Linked DNA regions of Arabidopsis thaliana. The protein of the gene in region 3 interacts with the protein of the main gene of each other region in a pairwise test. Each region holds a gene or a part of one and is shown on either strand. Other genes may lie near its edges. The genes, in order: AT4G22830, RTH and AT1G03660.

Region 1 (7,951 bases), on a different chromosome or scaffold from region 3:
ACTTCCATATTTCAGAACCTTTGAATTTTATCAGCCTTAACCACAGGATTAGCTTTGGCAATCTCTCCACGTCCAACTTCTTTGAAATCAAAGCTGCAATCATGAGTCTCCGGGTACCGATGTTCGCCGCAGAAAGTGCTCCCGCATTTGCACTTAAACCCCATGATCCCAACCTTCTTGTTACAACACAAACACCGGTTGGTTCGTGCAGGTCTCGATGGCTCGTTCGCCTCAGGAACCGCCGAGGAAGATGGCTCGGCCGAGACAACAACAACTGCCGCCTTTTCGGGTTTGGGTTCCACAACAACAGCAGGAGGTTCTGCTATGAAGAGACTACGAGGAGGAGAAGGCTTGAAAGATTTTTCAACAGCAGCTTTAGCAACTGCTGTTTGAGCTTCCTCAGCACAAATGCCTCTGTAACATTTAGAACAGAGATCCATGTTTGATGGTGATCCAAAGAAACCACATCCTTTAACACATAGCTTTGGCTCTGAAGCTTGCGATTGCGTGAAGCTTGTGCTATCGTTTTGTTCCGATCCCATTCTTACTCTCTTGCTTTTCTTCTGTTACACCACATAAATTCAAATTAAAATTTTACCACTGCGATTATTGACAATATACACGACAAGAAGACAATAGATGAGATTAGTCAGACCAAAGATTCCTCAATGTCAGAGGATCTTTTAAGGTTGTCGGGTTTTTGAGGATTAGATCCATAACAAAAGTACAACTATATTATTGACACAGATCGATTTTGTTTTAGCTACGATAACAACAATTTCGTCATCAAATTATGCAATTAAAAAAGTAGATCTGAGTTTCCGAAACACAAATACTAAGATAACACAAGAATCTAATTCAGATCGGACAAGACACAGAATCAACTAAATCAATCAATCAATCAAAAATACACAAGACAAAGGAGATTGGGAATTTTTACCTGTAGAAAACGGAGATCTCTTTCTTCTGGCGATTTTAAAGAGAATTAACAAACAACGATTCACAGTTTGTGTTTGTTTCTGATCTTCGGAAGTAATCTTCGTTAGATGATTTGTTCTTAAATCGATAAGAATTGAGAACGACAAGTCTTTTTCGTTAATCGAGAACAACAAGAGAAAAATTAGAGAAAAACAGAAACACGTAACTATGGAGGAACATACATGTGTATATATTTATATGGTATGAGTCACGCTACGGTTTTCACTTTTTTTAAGTTGTGTTCTTCTACACCTCCTTATTGTACACTTTCGTAATCTTAACCGTGCGATTCTTTTGGCTGACCTAATCTGACGGTTATAATTTATCATCGAGCAGCTAAACGGAATAATAATGGCACTGTTTTGTAAAATTTCCAAAGTTATGAAGTCAGAACTGTACTTTCGTAGCTGACGTGTATATTTCCTTTATTTTTGAATTCTGACTTTCCATTTTTTTATTAATTGACATTTTTTATCCAGTTTGATCCAAAAAAAAATGATGTAGGTTTTTTTTTCCCATAATAGGAGTACAAACTAATAGGTAAAATTAACAAATTTAAATGTATAAATGGCCTTTGGGGTTGTTTAAGTAATGATTAAGATGGTATTATTGGTGGACTTTTGGGGAAGATAAAGATAAGATATGCCTTCTTCATCACGCCCTGGCTTGGTCTAAACACGATTAACGCGTTGTCAAGATTTAAGTGGAACTTGGTATCTTATTTTAATAATTCGAAAATTTTATTATTTTAAACTTATGTACTTACGTTCATTTTTTTTCTTCTTATTAAGATCCTAACCAGAAATAGCTCAACCACCCCACATTTTTGCTTATAGTTTTTAACTTCAAGAGATTCGGATTTAAAAAAAAAAAAAATTGTCGTACTGTCCCACGTAAAGATTCAATTTTGTGTGTGACAGATGTAAGTTATACACAATGATTTTCTTCAACTAACTAGATTGAGTTTGTTGGCATGTTTTACTATATATGGTCTCGATTTAAGATGATATAACAAAACAAGATAATTAGTTCAGATAATGTTAAACGTTCAATATCTGCATTTTGAGTTAAGATAATCTCAATATCTGCATTTTGATGTCTACTTTTATTTATAATTTTAGCCAAACTTGCCACACTGGGAAAAACGTTATCAGTTTTGGCACTTTCTTTCTTCTGTTTTCTTGATCTCATTTATACAAAAATGGAGAAGTTCTTATGATCACGTAACCAAAATTTATAATTTAATTCAAACTCTAGATTCTGGATAAGACTAAATCTGTGTAACTTGGGTTACTGATATAGGTTGAATGCACATGGATCTTCCTCATATAAAGACTATATAATATACTTAAATCGTTGACATAGAATCTCATAGAACTTTTCAAAGGGGAAAAGAATCTTAGTGATCCTCCAATTAATAATTCAATTATACTTTGCTCATATTGATCGGTTTAGCCATCATGGCTTTTCAGAGACTTCAATTTTGGATGACAACTTGTTGATCCGAAAGGCAGCAATGCAGAGAGTGATATTACCAAACACCGTTAGTGCTGCCTGAAGAGCGACCAACACCTGATAATGCAGTCCAACAATTACACCATTAAGTAGGAGTGAAGAAGCAAACGAAACATATCACAGACTTATAGCTAAAAGTTGGAGTCAAGAGTTTCTTGACCTCAAGAGATTCATCGTTGTAGAAGAAATGCCATGTGCATGCACAGAGAGCTCCACCAAGCAAAGGTACCTGATTAAGAACAACCAAAAAGCTCAGAAAAATGAAATCATGTAATCTAGGAAAACGGCTTAGAGCTTTCTCACCATTCCCCATGAGAGACCTTTCCAAGACTCATAACCCTTTCTTTCTCCATACTTCCATACCAATGCCATCGCCGTAATCCTTTAGTAAAAACAACACCAGAATTAGAAAGACATTACATTTTTCTTGTTTGTTAGCTCCAACTGCATTTCAAACCATAATGAGAGAAGCTTAATCTACATTGTGAGTGAAAGATCGAGACTTTATATGTAGATGAAGCTTCTCTCATAATGATATCAAAAACTCGAAAAACCCACAACATCAAATACTCTCTTGTGTCACTATAGATCAAATGTCAAATGTTTTCTAAGTGAGAATTTCAATCAATAAAGCAAAGGAAGAAGAAGAGAACCATTCGACAACGCTGGAAACATGAACGGCCCAAGTGGGTAAAGACAACGCATTGGACGGTTCGCTTAGCTGAAGAGAATCCACCACCGCCGCCAAAGCAGTAGCATCTGGTCCCGCCGTGATGAAAGCAGCCGCAACCAAACTGGTTCCGATAAGACCCGACAGCGCAACCGGGTCATGAATTAAACTGCGGCTTCGGATCCGAATTACAGGTTCGTTAGAGGTGGTGAGAGAAGAAGCTGGACGGCTCTCAGAATGAATTCGCCGGAAATTGGGTTTGGCGCAGCAGAAAAGAACGGTGGCTGTTGAAGCAATCGCCATGGCTGAGATTTTTCTCCAATTTCCAATTCCCAAGTTCTGGTTTAATTTTAAACCGGTTTGCTGTTGAACCGTCTTTTATCATTTTCACAAACAAAATTAAACTAATCGGTTTATTAACAAATTCTGGTTTTTCTAATTACTTCCCATCTTTGAAGTTGAAGAGAAAAATATAAAGACAAAATGGAGATTAGTACATTAAAAATCTCAAATTCTGTATTGAATTATTTATATTACAAGAAGAATTTTCCAATTATTTGTAGTACATATATATATGTATAATCAAAATGTGGAGTGAAACAAAATCAAAATGTTAAAATGTGTTACTCTTTTCCTTAGACCAGATCAAAACGAGAGTGAACCCCATCAATGACATTACCACCGTCTGCAAAACAAAACAAAAATCTCTATAATCATCATCAATAAAAGATTATGCTATGTCAAAAGGATATGAGACTTACAGATATAGCAGGAGGAATCCCCACAAGAGGATCTTGAAAGAACTTAGTAGCAAGCGCTAGAGCCAAAAGGCTACTCTGCATTCCTGATATATTCACAAACACATTTCTCTTCTCAAATCTTTAAACCAAATTGTACTTTCTTGATAAGATTTTCCAATACCATAAAGAGTTAGTACCAGTTTCATAGGACAATGTTCTTTGCATGGCTTTAGCGTCTGGAGCGTTTCTAAAGACAGAACCGGTAAGGAAGTATCCAGCGAGGAAAGCTGAGAGATGAAACATTGTTACTAGTAACAATATGGTGGCTCCAAATGGAGACATGACCGAGTTTATGTTCAATGCGAGTGGTGCTCCAACGCAGCAAGCTGTGTCGAGAACCGATAGAATCGGGAGAAATGGTCGGATTGCATTTGATACTTTTGGGAACAACCTGTAAAAGAAGAAACAAAAAGGAGATAAAAATGGTTATACTTAGAGAAACAACTTGTGGTTATTTCTAGTTGTAGGCTTGTAGCTATATCTCTCACTTGTTTAGTAGCAATCCTGCAGCGATTGGTGCGATTACAACCTGAAGAATGCTGGATATCATTCCTTTTACATCAACGGGTAGTTTCTTCCCAATGAGCAGGAGTGATAGCATCGGTGTGACAAGAACCGCAGTAGCGGTTGATAGAGATGTCATGACGATGCTAAGAGGTGCCAATGCTGGATCAGTTAGGAATGTCGCATAGTTTGACAACTGAGCTCCACTAACACATGATACCAACATGATTCCAGCACCTGAGAGATTGAGAAAGATTGGTTAATGTGAGAGATAGGTTAAGAGTCTTGAATGATGAGAGACAGGGAGCTTTTACCAATTGGAGTTGGGAGTTGGAAAAGAGAAACAGCAGCTAGGCCAAAGATGAAACCTAGGACAGGCTTTACGAGATATTGTCCAACATAACCGAGGAGGATAGCTTTTGGTCTTTTGAAAGCTTCAAGAAAGTCTTTCTCGTTTGAATTGATACCAACCGCAAACATCAAAAAACCTAAAGCGGGCACAAAGTACCTAAAATAACAGGAGAGTAAAGAAGAGCTTTTTAGCAAACCTCATGTCTACAATTCAAAGTCTTAGATCAATTTGACCTTGTTCCAATGGGAAGAACCTCGACGTAAACCAAGTGAAAGAAGGAGGATAGATAAGAGCTAATATTGTACTCGCCAACACTACATGAGGAAGAATTGAGTTTGCTTTCTTCATTCTATCCACTATAGAAGGCTTCTCAATAACCTGCAAGCCACTTACTAGATTCATGTTGGTTCTCGGAAGTAACATAAAATTCTTAACAACTGAAATCATCAGCAAACGAAGAACAAAGTAGCAAAACTGTGATCCAGGGATGATTTTTAGCTAATCAGATTCAAAAGTAGGATAATTAACAAGTCTTCAATAGTGCAAAATCACATTTTGACATTAAAGATGACACATTTTGAGAAGACTATTCAAACCCAACATAACATAGAATGGAAAAGGAAAGATCCCATAGCGCACACCTTGAATGGATCAGCTCCAGGATCCAAACCCATCTCCGAGAAATTATCAGATGCATATCTACGCCACAAATTCCTCGATCCGCCAACTGTGTATATAGTAGGTTGAAGAAAACCATGAGAGAAGAAAGTGTAAATTTTGCAGGTACCCAACAAGCATAAACGCCTGAGGATCGATGAGAGTAAGATGAACAAACCTTGAGAGATTGGGTCGATGCGAAGTGGAGAACTCAGAGAAGTGTTCGAGAAGATGTTGGGCGGGAAAACTTGAATCCGTTGACTGCGATAAACAGCTCGTGGTAGAAGACGAAGTGTTGACTTTAGGTGCAGGGTCTCTATTGGAGTTGTGATCACGCTCATTTTTTTTCTTTGGACTTTGTGATCTTTCAGATTCTTCAGAAGAAGTGGCGAAACTCTGAGAGTTCTGGGAAATGGAAGAAAGAGGGAGAGATTCAGAGAATCTGGGACCCGAGAATCTGTCGCATCATCAACCTAACAAAACCCGACCCGACCCAGTTAGAGTTTAAGTTTCTGGAAATGGCCCACTGGGCTTTAAGATAATGTATATTTCAAATTATGATTTTCTTATTTTAAAACTGATATTTGGAATATAATGTGTTGTGTAGTGAGAAAGACGCAATTAATATACTTAAGTTAGGGTAATAAAAAAATCGGTACAAGACTACAAAGCAAAGACACAAATCAAGGAGAAAACTTCCACAAATTGTCTCTCTTTCTTTCCTACACACCAATTTGTTTTGTGATTCTTTCGATTGCATTCTTCTTTTTCGAATTCCCGATCACTGGATTTTCCCGTTTAACCGGAAAATCCAGTGGATTAGATTTTACCCAGTGTTATCTTTTTGGATTGGATTCGATGACTGTTACGGAGGACGAAAAACCGGTTCTTGAGCTGCTGGTGAGAGTTGAAGACGACGATGAGAAAGGGCCTTATGTGAAATTGAGTGAGGTTTTAGAGAAAGGTCAAGAATCAGAGCAGGAGAAGGAAGAAGAAAAGACTGATTCGTCGCGGTTTTGGTTTTGGGTCAAGCTTTCTCTTTTATTCGCCTTTCTTGCTGCATTGGCTGTTGTGGGTTACATTTGGATCGGTCCATTGATCATGGATAAGGTTTGATTTTAACTTCCATCATCAGATTCAGTTTTAGCTTTATTTGCTCTTGCATGTGTCTCAAAAAGTTTAATTCTTTGTCTGATTGAATTCTTTAACTCATGATTATTCACTCTTGTGGAAGATTCTAAGTAGTCTTGAGGAATGAGGCTGATCTAGTTGCGTATAGTCTGCATGCTTGTAGTCTGACTAGATTTGATGTTGATGCTTAATGTATCTATTAGTATTCATGTATGATCAAAGAGTTCTTGCATTTGAGCTTGTTGTATGTGTAATGTCTTTTACAATCTTCACTAACAAGGGGAATTATCTACTTGCCTGGTTCTGCAGGAGCTTATACCGCTTATACAATGGGAGATACGAACTTTTACACATCCTGTGTGTGGTCTTCTTGTTTTTGCATCAGTGGCGATATTTCCAACTATACTTCTTCCATCTACACCATCAATGTGGATTGCTGGGATGACTTTTGGTTATGGCTATGGCTTTCTACTTATTATCTCAGCTGCAGCTGTTGGTGTTTCGCTACCTTACTTTATTGGACAACTCTTCTGCCACAAAATTCAAGTATGTGTTAGCTCCCTAAAGCTGCTTCCTTTTCGCTTGAATTTGTCAGAGTATCCAAGTTTTAATCATGATTGAAAGTTCTGAGGTAGGTTTAGAAAATACGAAGCTGCTCAATACATGACTCTAAAGCTTGGTTATCTTGGTTTGAACTAGGATTAACATTGTTTTGGTTTCCTCAAATGATGTTATAATGTAGTTGCATTTGTGAATGTAACTGTGTGAAATGTCATTTTACTGAATTGTGTTTGTCTCTTTTTTCTTGTTATTCTATAGGGATGGCTAGAAAGATATCCTGATCAAGCAGCCGTATTAAGAGCTGCTGGTGAAGGGAATTGGCTTCACCAATTTCTATTAGTAACCTTAATCCGGATTTCTCCATTCCCTTACATTCTTTATAACTACTGTTCTGTAGCAACTCGTGTTAAGTATGGTCCTTACATCACGGGCTCTCTCTTAGGCATGGTGCCTGAGGTTTTTGTCGCAATCTACACGTAAGTCAGCTTTCTATCTCTTCTTTTCAATTCCAAAACATTTTGTTAGGTCCAATACTGTTTACATCAATGCTCATTGCACCTACTCAGCAGAAAACATCCCATAATAAGAATACTTAGTAAATCCTCACATTACACTATTCCACTACTGTAGAACAGTTTTAGCTTGTGTCTAGCTTTTATTTTAGCTTCTAGAAGCCTAAGTAAAAAGCCCTTTTCACGGATGAGTCAAATGTCTCGTTTCTGTGTTGCAGAGGGATACTTGTAAGGACATTAGCAGAAGCATCTTCTGCAGAAGAACAGGGTC
Region 2 (7,951 bases), on a different chromosome or scaffold from region 3:
TTTTGTATGAATCCGATGGTATTCATTGATGCTAGGGTTCTTAATTATAAAAACCATAACATAATGGAATGTTTCAAAGCTTTGCATTATTTTTGTGTTAAGGTGCATTATTTACCAGATATCTATGGATAAACAATTGCTTCGGTAGCATCTTTCAAAATGATTTCGTGGAGGGATTTCTCTCTTTTCTTAGACGAAATGATTTTTTTTTTATCAGATTGAGTTTCCATTAAACGTTCTGATAATATTTCTTAGTAGCAAATGGATTTTGTTTTTAATAGCTTATTATTTGTGTAAATCCTTTTGCAATTTAATACTACATAGAAAGAAACAGAATCCTTCATTTGTACATATTTGCCATCCGTATCGAAACATTGCCAATGATCAATTCCTAGCTTCACTTGTCCAATATTCGAACCGTTTTCAGAACACAAATGACCTTCTGAATAAGCATCACCTTTAAGAAAATGCTCTCTCTTTATTCACGTCCATTGCATAATATTTTTTTTTTTTTTGAGGACATAATGTAGAAATTAGTTTTCAAATATACTTTGAAGTCACAAAGTAATTGATTTACTGGATAAGCAAAGCAATTTTCAGCTTCAAATAGTCAGATGAGATTATAGACCGGAACCATAACAAAGGGGAACAAGTTATAACATGTCAAGAGTAATAGAACAATTAATCCAACATCTTAAGAGATATATAAGAGTGGAAAGCTTAAGCCAAGTGTTTGGCAATGGTAGACTGAAGCTCATCTTTCTTGGCTCCAACAACTTTGTCCAAAATCTTCCCTTCCTTCAAAAACATGAAGGTTGGCATCGCCTGTATCGCCCAATCACTTGCCACCGACTGTTCCAACAAAACCATAAAAGAGATTGTGATCGAAGAAAACAATATCTCTCAAGAAGAAGGGAAAAATGTTGGTGAATGTACCTTCAATTCATCAGTATCAACCTTGAGGAAAAGCACGTTAGGAAGTTTCTTAGCCAAATCAGCAAAGAATGGAGCGATGAAACGACATGGTCCACACCAAGAAGCCGTGAAATCAACCACCACCTTCAACAATATAACCAATCATGAATCATTTTCATTGAAAAACCATTTACACTAAAAACATATCATATCGTAAGAATTGTGAACATTACATCTATCTTCAGCGTAAACATTTTTCTAGGGATCCCTTAGTTTCATAGAATTATCAACATGACTCGTAATATAAGTCATTATGATCTCCTACCAATCCTAGGATCTAATCTATGGTAATGCAGATCCAAGAATTGTCATAAAATTCAAACATGAATTCATACAAAAAAGAATCATATCATTACATTGCTTAAGTATGAGAGATCAAAGACTCTATTTAAAAACGCAACCCAAAACAAACCAAATCAAGAATAATAACAAATCCATATCTCATCAAAAACAAAATGAAATCAAGAAATTTGGGAGAAGAAGATTACAAGAGTTTTGGATTCATTAGCCTTCTGAAGCTGCTCGTTCCATGTCTCAACGGTGTGGCAGGCGATCACTTGTCCTTCTTCCGAAGCCATCTTCTCTCTTTTTCTTCTCTGTTCTGTTTCTTCTCCTCTTGTGTTTTTTTTTTTTCAATTACTTAGCATGCGCGTCACCTACCAATCCCAATTTTGCCCGTCAATAGTTTTTCTCTTCTACTTTATTCGACGCGTGATTTTGTTTCCCATAATTACACCCACCAATTGCTACTTTCCTTCTTTACCCAAATCATAAATATTCACACTTTTACTCCTCAAAGTTTTACTTGTAACAAATTAACCACACACAAAGCAAAGTTGTAAATATCCATCGTAAAAAGTAAAAAACATTTTGTAGACATCATTTGTACATTATGATTCAAATCTACAGCTGAATCAGTTTCTTGAAACAATACGTTCCAATGATGAACCACCCGGTAAGCAAAACCACTAGAATCGAGCAGGAGGCAATGAAAGTCCAACCACCGAGTAAGATTCCTATAGTGTAGACTATGAGTGGAGGCAACAAGGACTTTACTATAGCCGTTTTGTTCACCCAACGTCCCTTGAAAAGCACTAGTGTCGCGAGATTCACCACGTTCCATCCGCCTGACTTTATAGATAGACGGTTCAGGTTGTTGGCTACAAAGGAATGACAGTTGCATGTGAGTATGTTATATGAGTGATGTTGGTACTCTTGCGTGCTTTTTCTCAGTGCATCATCCCATGTTGGCTCTTTCTCATGACTATCTTCTTCTTGCTCATATCTCCTCTCACCATTGAACATACCAGAACTGGAAGAACGAGATGACTCCTGATTCAAATCCAAGGCCAATATGAATAAATTGTTACTTTGTATCAAGGTTGAAAATGAAAGCCGGCATCTTGCAAACGTTACCATTTCTTTGTTGATTTGAATATATCGAGAAACAGCTCCAAATGCAAAATTATCAACACAGACAAAATTAGGTCCTGCAAAGTCGAGGATGACACCGTCTTCTCTGCAGATACCGACGTGGCCGATGAAGGGAACCAGCCATGAAATGAAGGGAAGAGGTGTCCAAACAATGCAGCATGGAAACCGGTCTCTTTTGGGATCAATTTTCATAGGATCCGATAATCCGATCATCATGCGATGTTCTGAATCTGTTGCTGTCTCTCCCATATCCAAATCCAGTTGAGCTCAATTATTTGATTCTCTGTAAGCAAAAAACAACACGTCCAGTGATCCCCATGTAAGTAAGATTCAATAAAGCACTTGGATTTGATATGTAAAAGTTGTTCTTAATACTCGAATAGCTGATGCATATCATTTACATCGAACCCAAAACATAAATGCATATCATCCCATCATGGAAGTCCGAGTTGGGACTGAGCCTTCCAGAAGCGATAAGCAGCTCCTTCTAGCCCTGTGCTGCTTTGGATTTTTGCATATACCAAGCTACTACCAATTCATTGATTACTGGATAAACTTGAAACAAGAGTCGTCTAATTGATATTCAATCAACACATTGTGCTAAAACACTACGACCACTACATAGAAAAGCTAAGTAAACAATTCTCGTAGTTCTACGAATCGCGAGTCTTAAACACTAAACGATGAATCCATACGAACATGGCGAACGAGGGATCCAGAAAACGCCATTAAAGATACATAATCCAACTAGCAACGAGTCAACATCAAAGCATCTTCATAGACATTGATTCCGAAACTTTTTCATAAAGAATAGATCAAAGCATACATACCAGTTCAAGCGACCAGGAAGACGATTAATCGGATCTAATACAATCTTCAATCACTGCCTTTTTCCTGGGAAATTTTTGTTTCTCTCTCGGCCCCAATTTTACGAACGATGACACTAAAGAACGTGTTTGGCTCCTTGTTTAAACTAATCCTCTCTCGGATATCTTCACCGTTTCAAGGATAGTAGTATAAACGACATAACGTTCGGTCAAAGAGAACAAAAACGTCAGGATGTTATTCTATTAAACGTCTGATATATCTATACGGCGTAGTTTTGAAGTTGTCGACTATTCTTCATCGTTCTCTCTGCTCTGGTAAGGAGATTGCTGCTACCTACTGATGCAAATCTGCCATTGATACATCTGCTTGCGGTTAGGGCAAAGATGAGGAAACGCGATTTGGCTATTTTGATGCTCTCTGGATTTGCTATATTCTTCACTCTTCAGGTGATTTTACACACTAATCGTCTTCTTATTCTTTCTTAGTTCAATCAAATTGTAGCTGAACATCTAGAATCATTGATCGATCTGTTACTTGAGAAAGCTTTGAATTTTCCTTTGTGGGTAGAACTTAGACTGCTAATTCGATCCGTAAGTAGTGTCATGTTAGCGAATTTGTAGAATTTCCAGATGGAACCAATGGATTCAATTTTCTTATTAATGGTGCGTTTACTTGATATGTGGGACTTGATGACTTTTGCAGCACGAGGGTGATTTTGCGTTCAAAGAAGCATGGTTTCATTTGTATGATGAATACCCAGTCAAATACGAAGCTGATCGTCTCCCACCACCTATTGTAGCTGATCTTAATGGTGATGGAAAGAAGGAGGTTCTCGTTGCTACTAATGATGCCAAAATTCAGGTATCATATGAAATTTTCTAACTTTTGTAGGTAAAAACATTTCTGATTTCGATCTTTCTCGCCAATTTTTATAGAGTCTATCTGGCTATTTCGGTCGTTAGAACGAATGATTGCAGCTTATAGTTCAGTGCTTATGCATTGCTCTTTATTGTTTTAGAGCCTTTTTGTCGAACTAATGATGTGAGGCTTGGTGATTATGCATTTCTCTTCTATGGTTTGCTGTTCTGTGTTGGATTAAGTTCTGAAACTGTTGATGTTTTGTTGGATTAGGTTCTGGAGCCTCATTCCAGGCGTGTGGATGAAGGTTTTAGTGAAGCACGTGTTCTTGCGGAAATCACTCTTTTGCCTGACAAGATCCGTGTTGCGTCAGGGAGACGTGCTGTGGCCATGGCCACAGGTGTTATTGATAGGTACTATAAAAATGGAACTCCCCAGAAGCAGGTTGTGGTCGTTGTTACCTCAGGTTGGTCTGTGCTCTGCTTTGATCACAACCTGAAAAAGCTGTGGGAAACGAATCTGCAGGTTTTTATCTTCTTCGTTCTTTGTCTAACGTTCTGCATAAAAGTTTGTCTTGGTTCAGTAGTATTGATTCTCCTTTTGCTTACCTTTGTTGGTGGAATGACAGGAGGATTTCCCACATAATGCACACCATAGAGAGATAGCAATTTCGATAAGCAATTACACATTGAAGCATGGTGATACGGGTTTGGTTATTGTTGGTGGACGGATGGAGATGCAGCCATATGTATGTAGGATGAAAAATTCCTCTGTTGATTTCCTATGTATCTTCCATATGTTACCAATAGATTATTCTTTTCGTTTTAGAATCACATGGACCCATTTGAGGAACTTGGCATGACAGCACAAAATGCTGATCAACACAGAAGAAGTGCTACTGAGAATCAGGTACGACTATATGATAGTTTCCTTGGACTGTTTCGTAGCTGTGTATATTTATAGTTTCCTTATACATTTTCTCTAGAACTGAACAATTCTGAAGAAAGAGCTATTCGTTTGTAGTTATACATGTTCCAATGTGCATAAGAACTTTGTTTGGACAGTTTAGAAGAATTTTAAGCTTCCTTTCAGGCCTCTGAAGATTCTGGAGCCATAAACTTGCGTCACTTTTCTGTCTATGCATTTGCTGGCAAGACTGGCCTTCTTCGATGGAGTAAAAAGACTGATGTCAGTTATTTATTCTTTTCTGCTCACTTCTTTATCTGCATATTCCTTAACTACATTCGTACCTGCAACAAATTTGGTGGTCAGATTGATAGATTTTTTTCGTTCTTCTCATCTAGGATGTTGAAGCTCACACCTCAGATGCATCACAATTAATTCCACAACACAATTACAAGCTTGATGTGCATGCTCTAAATAGCCGTCACCCAGGAGAGGTAAAATTAATTCGTTCTCCATTGATTATTGAGCGAAATAGTTAACCTTTCCTTCGTTCTTTCGGAAGAGATTTCTATTGCACTATCATAATTTGAAAGCTTTGCTGGACTGAAGTTTGAGTGCAGGGAATTTAGAGAATCAATTCTTAGTGTCATGCCCCATCGCTGGGTAAGTCTTATGCCTCCTACTACATGCTTCGTTAGTGTAATATATTAGAAAAATTGTTTCAAAGTACACTGTTGTCTTTGCATCAGGACCGACGTGAAGATACATTATTGAAGCTTGCTCATTTCAGGCGACACAAGAGGAAAACATTGAAGAAGCAGGCTGGTAGTAAGTCTACAGCTTATCCGTTTCACAAACCTGAGGAACACACACCCGCTGGAAAGGACTTGTCAAGAAAGATTCCAAAATTGATTGGAAAGGCTGCACGCTATGCTGGCTCGGCAAAACCCAAGAAGGTGAAGCTCTTATAAAACGTGAACTACCCACATCAAAAATACCAATATTTGTTTATGATAGCAAAGCAACATGTTGATGCAGGGTATGCAATACATTCCGACGATAACTAATTACACGAAGCTTTGGTGGGTTCCTAATGTTGTTGTGGCTCATCAAAAGGAAGGAATTGAAGCTATTCATTTGCCTACTGGTCGAACACTTTGCAAGGTTGGTCCTAGTGGCTGTTCCTTCAGATCATGAACAAGGTTACTATTTCACGTACCTATTACTTACTTAGTCAGCGTTTATAAATTCTTCCTGTTCGCAGCTTTCTCTACTTGAAGGTGGACTTCACGCCGACATAAACGGAGATGGTGTTCTCGATCATGTCCAGGTACACACATCAAACACTACTCCCGCTTTTGGTTCATTAGCCTTCTCATGGATCTTCAATTTTTACGACCATAAATATTCTCTATCCACCTTAGACTGTCGGAGGCAATGTTGGAGAGAGAACTGTAGTGAGCGGGTCAATGGAAGTGTTGAAGCCTTGCTGGGCAGTGGCAACCTCAGGCGTTCCCATCCGGGAACAGCTCTTTAACGTCTCGATCTGCCATCACTCCCCTTTTAACTTCTTGCACTATGGAGGAGATTACTCACGACACTTCGCCCAGGCAAGAGACACCTCTACTCTGGAGATCGCAACTCCCATTCTCATCCCCAGAGATGATGGACACAAACACCGCAAAGGCAGTCACGGAGATGTAATCTTCTTGACAAACCGTGGAGAGGTACTTTTTTCCTTTCTATATATGCCGATACAATCTCTTAATTTCTTCAACTTTGAATTTCGTTTAATAATAGCTCATCACTGCTCCGTATCAGGTGACATCATACACGCCTGATGTGCACGGCCACGACGCAGTCTGGCAATGGCAGCTTCAGACAGAAGCCACATGGTCGAATCTCCCGTCTCCATCGGGTTTAACTGAATCAGGGACGGTGGTCCCAACCCTGAAACCATTCTCGTTGCGCATTCATGATAACCAGCCTATGATCCTTGCCGGGGGAGATCAAGCAGCGGTCATCATCTCTCCGGGAGGAAGCATATTGGCTTCCATCGAATTACCGTCTCAACCGACTCATGCACTTATCACTGATGACTTCTCGAACGATGGTCTAACGGATGTGATTGTGATGACCTCAAATGGGGTTTACGGGTTTGTTCAAACCAGACAGCCAGGGGCTCTGTTCTTCAGTTCGTTGGTGGGTTGTCTCTTAGTAGTTATGGCAGTTATTTTCGTTACTCAGCACTTAAACTCCATTCAAGGTAAGCCTCGACCATCATCTAGCTTTTAATAGAAATCTCGTAGAGTTTTCTTCCTCTCTACGGAAGTTAAACCGGCAGGTCCGCTTTAGCAGCTTCACCCACATCGGTTTTGGTAAACCGGAAATATTACTGATATACCAGTGTAGATTCAGTGCCTTATTTCCTGGTTTCAGCTGTATAACTTTATACTTTGTAGAATTCAAGTAAAAAATGGTAGAGGCAAATAGAGGACTTTATGTTTTTGTCAATTTTGATGTTTTAATGGAATTATGTGACATTTAATTTATAAAAAAAAAAAAAAAAAATACGTTTTCTAGAAATACTTCGTAGATATATATCTCTTCCTCGATACAAAGCTACACTTTATTCATGGGACTCATCGTACAATACGATTTTTTGAACAAACAAAAAAAGTACTAAATAGGTTAAGTAAATAAAATAGGCTTAGCTTGCCAGTAATAATTGATGCAGCGATGTGGTTAAAAGTTAAGAGTTTTTTGGACCACGCTAGTAGTAATAATATAATCCTCAATTCTCAAATGGGAATGTGGGAGGCATGAGTGGTGTAATGATTTACACATAATAATATACATACTACAAAACCATCGTTATAGAGCAAAATAATAGTATCAGACATTGATTGAAGAGTGAAGACAACGCATGATTTGCTAAAGAGCAATACTT
Region 3 (7,951 bases):
ACATGTACAATAAGTATGATCAATCAGACTAATCATTCGAATGCATTTCAATAGAGTTAATCATCGAATTCGAATCTGAAGACACTTACAATTAGACTGATGATTCGTAGATTGCTCCATAGTTGAGATGGGGACATGAATCGTTACTGTTGTTGAGACACGACCAACGAACTGCATCGTAATCCCGAGTAAAATTTAACCGATAAGAGTCTTCGGTCTTAGAGAATCTAACATCTTTCTTCTCTCTTCGAGAATTACCCGATGATCGGAATTACAAAACGGTTAACACCGGCGAGAATTGGTGGGATATCATGTCGTGGATCTTTTCTAGTGTGCCTTTTCTCTAACACGTCGTCGTTTTGCCTCATTCTTTAACAGATGTCGTTTAAAATTAATTTAAAGTACAAAAGAATGCGGTTTGGTGGATTATGTCGTGGATCTTTTCATAATGGGCCTTTCTTACGACCTAATTTTTTAACACGATGTCGTTTAAATCGATTAAAAGGTTTTAGAAAAATGCGGTGAGCGTGGATCGAACACGCGACCTTCAGATCTTCAGTCTGACGCTCTCCCAACTGAGCTATCCCCGCTTGGGATTATTTGATAAAATATTACATTATAATACTTACAAAAACGTTTCAAAACACTATCAAATGCCATTTCTCATTTTGGTCGACCATCGATGATAAGATTAAAAATCTTCTATTATGAAATCTTACACCACTTCCTAACATGAAAACGATTAAAAATCTCATTCTATATTGTGAAGAAGTTGATAAGTTGATGGTCCCAAGATGATTTCATCTTGCATCGTAAAATATCAAAAACTCGCTAGACATATGTAATATGTTGATGTAGAGAAGTAATCAATGAATGTGTACAAGGCATATCAAGCCCAAGCCAAGATATGGGAATACATATATAACCCCAAATCCAATGATTCAATCCTTTTGGGCTAAATAGAGTCATCAAAATCTAGGTACATTCTGTAAGCATCTCTATCAGCCGAGTAGTAGCTTTTCACTAGACAGTCTACTTGGAACCCAAGCTTTTTGTACAGATTCACCGCAGAAGTTCTCGTGGGGTCGACATGAAGTGAAACCCGTTGCACCTTTCTGCTTCTGCACTTGTCGATAGCCGCTCTCAACAATGCTTCTCCATGACCTTGTCTTCTGCAATTCTCCTTCACTACATGATTCCAAAACAACAGAAGAAAGTAAACTTGGGATACATTCTTCCTAATGTTTTTGCTCTTAACTTGCCTAATAAGAAAAATTCCATACGTGTTCTTGACTTATGAGCTATCTCCATTAATCTTTAAGCATGCAAAACCAAAGCTAGAACAAGGGCTTTGTCTAGTCAGAATTTCTATTGAAAGCTCTCGAATTTACCAGAATCATTGGTCCTTGACTATATAATAATCTACAGGTTAATTTATCAAATGGTTGAAAGATTTTTCAGTAGAAGTTTGGCAGAATAATTCCACTTCTTCTCTAACGAAATTATATTTTCTGAATTTTATCACTGAGTAATTTCATCGAACAGTTGGCGGACGTTTGTCTATACCTGCGAGCTTGGTGATTGAAGCGGAAAGCGAAGATGGCCAAGAATACATGGCATAGCCTACTGTGTCTCCTTCAGCATCCACGTATAGCAAACCGGCGTTTTTCTTACGCAGCTCTGCATCGAAAGTTTGAGCGAGAGATTCGTGTTTAGGGAACGTTTTCTTCTCCAGCTTCACGATATCTTCCACAACTTTGGCCCAACTGGTCGACCCTCTAATCAGCTCTACCACAACTCCTTTGTCCATTGTACAAAAGATTCGATTTTGTGGAATCTCTCGTTGGTTTCGCAGCCGGTGAGAGCGAGTGAGCCAAGGAAATTGTGATTTGATTTTGATGAAGGTGCGTAGCGACGGCGGGGACGACTTTTAGAAACTATTTGAAATTGTGATTTGACCCACAAATTTAACTTTTGTGACAATTTAGTCCCCAGAAACAGAGGAACTGTATCAGAGACCACACCAAATTAAAAGACAACATATTTGATCAATCACTGTGAACGAACTTATGAAAGATTGCAGATAGAAACAATCAAGAGCTTGAATGTGTAATGGAAAATGTTCACAAACCTACATACACATCACTTATGTGCTTTGGAGCTAAAGACATGGAAGGAATGCCATGGAAGGAGCATCAATACAAGACAAACTCCAAATGCAAATGCAACAACCATAGACCAAAAAGCAAACATGATAAGTACCATGGCTCGTTTCATAGCTTGCTGTATCAGAGGAATATCACCCAGATGTTGTGGCCAAATAAGATTCATTGTAGCTATGACAGACAAGAGCACTGGAATGCTATTGCAAACCAGAAAAACTATGAACACTGCTTTCTTGACCAAACCTGTGATGCCTAAATCTGGAGCAGAACTGGTGTAGATCTTTGTAAATGTGAAACCCATAACAAATGTCACAACTGCTACAATTGTTGTACCACCATAAGCAATAAGATACGTTCTTGTAGTTTAGATATTCTGGGACGCTGTGAAGCACTCAAGAGAATTGGTTGTGTACCATTTGGTGAACTAGCAGATCCCAAAGCCATATCCAAGCTTATTATATCTCTGAAAGATTGAATTAAACGAGACATGATGATAGGACTTCACAAAAACATGTTTTAAAAAGCAGATTCAGAAATTTTATCATAAACTTACTCTCTTTTTCCAATTGAAACCCAAAAAGAATAGTTAGAACTTAAACTTGAAAATACACACTCAAAGATTACCTTAAGACGCTTTGAAATCTAGGTGATGAAGGAAGACGAAGAAAATAATGTTGAAGTTTTGAACTTGTAGCAACCAAAATATTTAATCCTAACAAGTCATTGACTTAATCAAAATAAGAAAGGAGAAGTCTGGATGTGCGTACCAATCAACGACGATGTTTAGCTTGCCGAGCAAGCAATTAAATAATTGAATTAAGGTCGTTGACTCCAACGCAAAAAGTCGATGATTCAAAGGTTGGGTTTTTGTCTTTATCCAAAACAACCTTATAGTTTTAAAAATATAATTTTAAAAACATTTTAAAATAAAATAAAAATAAGTGTTAAAAATCTAAATTATGTGTAAACTATATTGAACCTAGGACACTTCTAAGGGGTTTGGATGTTGTGTCTAATTAGTTTAACACAATATTTAAAAATTTAACATTTATCCAAAAAAAAACTTATAGTTTCAATAGTAATATAAAAATATAATTTTAAAAACATTTTTTAATAAATTAAAAACAAATGTTAAAATTTTTAATTATGTGTAAACCATATTGAATTTAGGACACCTCTTAGGGTTTTAGATGTTGTGTCTAATTAGTTTACATAACATTTAAAAATTTAATATTTATCCAAAAAACCCTTATAATTTTAATAGTTATATAAAAATATAATTTTAAAAACTTTTTATAATAAAATGATGATAAGTATTAAAAATTTAAATTAAGTGTAAACCATATTGAACCTAGGACACCTCTTAGGGGTTTGGATGTTATGTCCAATTAGTTTACACAAAATTCAAAAATTTAACACTTATCCAAAAAACCTTTATAGTTTTAATAGTTATATAAAAATATAAGTTTAAAAATATTTTTTAATAGAAGAGAAACAATTGTTAAAAATTTAAATATGTGTAAACGAAAACAGTTTGTTAAATAAAATTAAAAACTACTGTTGAAAATACTTTTATTTTTTTGTTGAAAACAAAAACATTTTGTAATTTATTATTTTTAAAAAATGAACGAATAATAGAAGAAATAACTTACATGGAATCGTGTTAAAAAAAAAAAAATAATAATAATAATAATAATAATAACTTACATGGAATAAGTGTTGAATTGTTGATGAACAGTGTTTGTCCACAAATCTAGTAGGCGATAACTTTCAATAGGCTGAAATTGAATAAAACGAAGAAAGGAGTGAATATTTGGTTTAGGGCTAAATTTAGAGACAGTAGACAAAAAAAAAAAAAGAGAAAAGCATAGAGGATTTTGGAAATTACTTACCGTTACAGGTCAAGAAAGAGAGGACTATGACTTTATGAGATTGGTGTTACTGCATCATCCCTAGCCCTAATGGAATTGGACAAGGAAGAACGGTGATTGTAAACGACGATTGGGCCTTGTTCTCTCCGGCGATGACTGGAATCAAACGCCGACGACGTTTATTGTTCTAAATCTTCTTAAACTTCAAACCATCAAAGATAAACATAATCCAAAACAAACCCTATTAAAGATTAAACAGAACAACGAAACTCACAATTAAAAGCAAAAGAGATTCACACCAAAATAGTTTCAGATAACACGTACCGACTGAGTCAAAATCCAATCGATCCATAGATCCTCCGAAGAAAAATAGAAATGAAAGATGGTTTCTTTTGTTTTCGTTTTGCAGAAGAAGAAGAAGAAGAAGATGAATGAAGAATTAGTTATTTTACAAGGAAGAAGAGTATTTATAAGCAAACGTTGTTCAATAGAAAAAAGGAAATTTCTATTGTTTCCTTTTTGTTTTCGACTAGGTTAAGAAAAAGGAAATTTTAATTAGGCTGCAAAAAAAGAAAAGGAAATTTCCTCACAACGGTCATATTTGTATCTTACTGCGTAACAACAATTTATCAAGACAAATTATTTGAGGTTTCTTATTTTTGAAACAGAGAATTTGGCCTTGAAAGCGAGAGGAGCAAAGTCGGGATCATGCATGTGAGCTCTTTGCAACAGCCAACGGTCATATTTGTCTCTGTACCAATTTTTGTGGTTACTTAGTAAAACCACAATTACAAACTCGTGAGATACAAAAACTGTTAAAAACAAACAGAACACTAACCATCCATCATCCATGATACAAAACAGAGCAGAATAGAACAGAACAGAGCATTCTTTAACCATCCATGTTGTTGCTGCCTTCGCTAACAACCAAAAGCATCAAGAAATAAGGAAAGTAGAAGATATGTCTGAGAAAGCCATGTCTTGTAGACGAGAAAGCGTAAGGAATGATAAGTAGCATCAGGAATACCAAGAAGGCTGAATCTATGGCTAATACAAGATGGGAAAGCCATGGGAGATCGCTCACCACAAGAGTAAGTCCAGCCACAGATGCCATCATCATTGATACAACAGCTGTTAACAGAAGTGGTAAAGCTAGTCGAAAAGCTTTCTTTGTCAGAAGTGCATCACCCAGTTGTGCCCATATTAGAGCCATTACAGTTACCACAGAAGTGCACATTGCAATGTTGTTCAACAACAGAAATACCTTAAAATTCAACTTATTGACCAATGCAGCCATGCCTAAATGTGGAGCAGAACTCATGTAACCACCGGGTAATGTCAAACCTGCAGCGAAGGTCACGGTTGCTACGAGTGTTGCAGTCACCATAAGAGTATTGACACTATCCTTGTATCTTTCTGGACTTTGTTTGCTACTCTGTGACACAGTCAAGGGAATCAGGTTTGGGCCATGTGGTGCTCCAGCAGATACCAAAGCCATCCAAATCAATCTCTGTAAACCAATAAAAAAAGTTACATGAGACTTTATCATTAACTACATGAATCTTCAAATTTGACATACCTTGTAAAGTACGTAAGCGTTATTGTCCTTCATCGTCTCAGCAATATCTAAAGCTGTAAAGCCTTCATTGTTGAGTGCTCTGAGGTTAATCCCATCGTTCCATGTAAGCATATTCACAACTATCGGGTATCTGTGTTTAGTGGCTAGGTGTAACGGTGTATTCCCATTGATATCTTGTTCATTCATCATTCTTTTCCCTTCATCAAGTTTTAAAAGATACTTGACAACTTTCGACTTACCAGCTATGGCAGCAACGTGAAAGATATTCTGACATTGATTGTTAAGTAGCTCTCTTGAGTCAGGACAGTGTTTAAGAAACTCCTTAATGATTCTGACATGTCCTTCCTTTGCCGCCATATGAATAGGAGTGAAGCCATCATCATCAGCGACATAACAAAGGCTTGAAGCTGCTTTGTCAAACTCTGCTAGTATATAGCGAATTCCCTCATAACATCCCATTGATGCTCCATAGGAAAGACATGTCCTTCCTTCTTCGTTGCGTAATTCAATAAGTCCTGGATCTTGTCTAAGAACAATACCTAGGATATCTGTCAAAGCAATGACCAAGAAATAATTAAAACATATAAAGAACACTTGGCGTACAAGGTTGAACAAACATAGAAACAAACCTCTTCTATTGGCCTTCATTGCTGCATGTATAACAGATTTTCCACTGAACATCGAAGCTAGTATAGATGGGGAAGATGAAGATTCAAGCATTTTAAGCACGAGCTCGTGATATCCAGCTTCTACAGCCATGTATAATGGAGATGCTTCATCATTGTTCTTATCAAATGATACATCATGCTTCACACTTACTAGGCAGAAAGCCACCTCTACATGTTTTCCTTTCAACGCGGCATGTAGTGCAGTATCTCCGTTCTTGCTTTTAGCGGCAATAAACGCATCATAGGAAGAAGACTCTGTAATGAATCGAACAAGAATCTCAACAATATTGAGACTGCCTGCTCTGGCTGCAACATGAAGAGTTGTCTCACCCATCAGATTCACATTTTGTAGAAGATTTGGGAATGTAGAGATTATAAACTCCACTATATGGACATGACCCAAAGCAGCAGCAATATGAAGTATTGAATTCCCTTGATTGTCTACGAGTCGTTGAGTGACCTTTACGTCATCGTTTATCCTTTTCAGGAGGGAGACTTTGTCACCTGCTCTTACAGCACACAAAATCGCTGGATTCATAATCTCAGATTCATCCTTGTCTTTGAAAATAGTCCACTGATCTGGATCTGAAAGGGAGCCAGATGTGGACGAGGAGCTTACTGTTTCAGATTTACTGTCACACTTCATACTCTTGTTCAGTGCTACTTTCACTTTAAAATCTCCTGATCAAAAAGAATAAGTAAGATTTGATAATCCTAAAACTTCAGGAATATTAGACGACATAAACATCCACCTAAATAACTTTAAATTAATGCAGCATAAGAAAAAGTGAGAATTACTTGAAGCAGAGAGACAGATTCGAACAGAGAGAGAATCTATGCGCAGTACTGGGTAGATTGAATTACTTCTTAGGTTATGTAGAGATATAAATGTGAGAGATATATTCTCTTGATGACGTGAAGAGGATTAGCGTCGCTTTTATTCTAGTTCTAAACAACATCCGTAAGGTTCAAAAGATCAAACTTTTATCATCACAAGGTTTTGTAAGTTTGTGTGTAATGCTTTGACCTTGTCTCAGTTACGCAATGTTATTCAATGTTTTCGGTAATCCGACATTAGAACAGTATCCTTAAGGTTCTTCTAAAGATCAGACCTTTTTGTCATCACAAAGTTTTGTAAGTTTGTGCGTGTAAATGCTCTGACCTTATCTCAGTTTTGCAATTGTATTCAATGTTGTTAGTTAGAGATTAGAATTTTAGCCCCTACGACCAGGCCTCTTCAAAGTTCTAACCGTGTAAATTGGTAACAATAATAAAATGTTTTCGTAGACTTCAAATTCTGAAAACCTGAGACATCATATTATCATACAAGTCTAGATGAACAGTGATGAGTAGATAGGTAAAAGGTAGAGAGTCGAGAGATACAGAGAAAAGAGAACAGTGACTAGTAGTTCATTACAAGAATTTGTTGATGCTGGTTGCTAAAGTGTCTTTAGAGACAGCACCGATGATTGTATCCTTCTTCTCACCATTGACAAAGATCATGATAGTTGGGATGCTTCTAACACCATACTGGCCAGGGGTTGCAGGAGACTCATCAGTGTTAAGTTTGTAGAACTTGAACTGGCCGGCGTACTTTTGCGCGAGTTCGTTGACAATGGGATCAATCATTTTGCAGGGTCCACACCATGGTGCCCAAAAGTCGACAAA

The links.
Region 1: the proteins of AT1G03660 (region 3) and AT4G22830 interact in a protein complementation assay, tested with the Arabidopsis thaliana proteins (one large-scale study listed by BioGRID).
Region 2: the proteins of AT1G03660 (region 3) and RTH interact in a protein complementation assay, tested with the Arabidopsis thaliana proteins (one large-scale study listed by BioGRID).

Annotation. Positions count from the first base shown.
Region 1 is NC_003075.7:11,987,860-11,995,810, forward strand, and holds AT4G22830 (YCF49-like protein), read right to left. Parts: upstream 3,570-7,951; 5' UTR 3,549-3,569; coding exon 3,443-3,548; coding exon of another isoform or gene 3,385-3,442; coding exon 3,147-3,384; intron 2,876-3,146; coding exon 2,797-2,875; intron 2,723-2,796; coding exon 2,654-2,722; intron 2,551-2,653; coding exon 2,437-2,550; 3' UTR 2,205-2,436; downstream 1-2,204. Other genes in the region: AT4G22820 (A20/AN1-like zinc finger family protein), read right to left, coding at 12-542; AT4G22840 (Sodium Bile acid symporter family), read right to left, coding at 3,777-3,848, 3,925-4,007, 4,101-4,354, 4,452-4,704, 4,782-4,975, 5,073-5,197, 5,461-5,546, 5,655-5,817; AT4G22850 (SNARE associated Golgi protein family), read left to right, coding at 6,335-6,586, 6,917-7,153, 7,427-7,644, 7,899-7,951.
Region 2 is NC_003074.8:18,950,403-18,958,353, forward strand, and holds RTH (RTE1-homolog), read right to left. Parts: upstream 3,400-7,951; 5' UTR 3,240-3,399; exon of another isoform or gene 2,693-3,239; 5' UTR 2,659-2,692; coding exon 2,392-2,658; intron 2,308-2,391; coding exon 1,879-2,307; 3' UTR 1,671-1,878; downstream 1-1,670. Other genes in the region: TRX1 (thioredoxin H-type 1), read right to left, coding at 721-852, 937-1,059, 1,464-1,553; AT3G51050 (FG-GAP repeat-containing protein), read left to right, coding at 3,621-3,683, 3,940-4,098, 4,369-4,620, 4,724-4,843, 4,924-5,004, 5,188-5,283, 5,400-5,495, 5,611-5,664 and 5 more.
Region 3 is NC_003070.9:909,294-917,244, forward strand, and holds AT1G03660 (Ankyrin-repeat containing protein), read right to left. Parts: upstream 4,516-7,951; 5' UTR 4,361-4,515; intron 4,303-4,360; exon of another isoform or gene 4,239-4,302; 5' UTR 4,058-4,238; intron 3,944-4,057; 5' UTR 3,873-3,943; intron 2,973-3,872; exon of another isoform or gene 2,790-2,972; intron 2,629-2,789; 5' UTR 2,467-2,628; coding exon 2,143-2,466; 3' UTR 2,017-2,142; downstream 1-2,016. Other genes in the region: AT1G03650 (Acyl-CoA N-acyltransferases (NAT) superfamily protein), read right to left, coding at 956-1,188, 1,567-1,810; AT1G03670 (ankyrin repeat family protein), read right to left, coding at 4,929-5,546, 5,616-6,163, 6,245-6,929; THM1 (thioredoxin M-type 1), read right to left, coding at 7,697-7,951.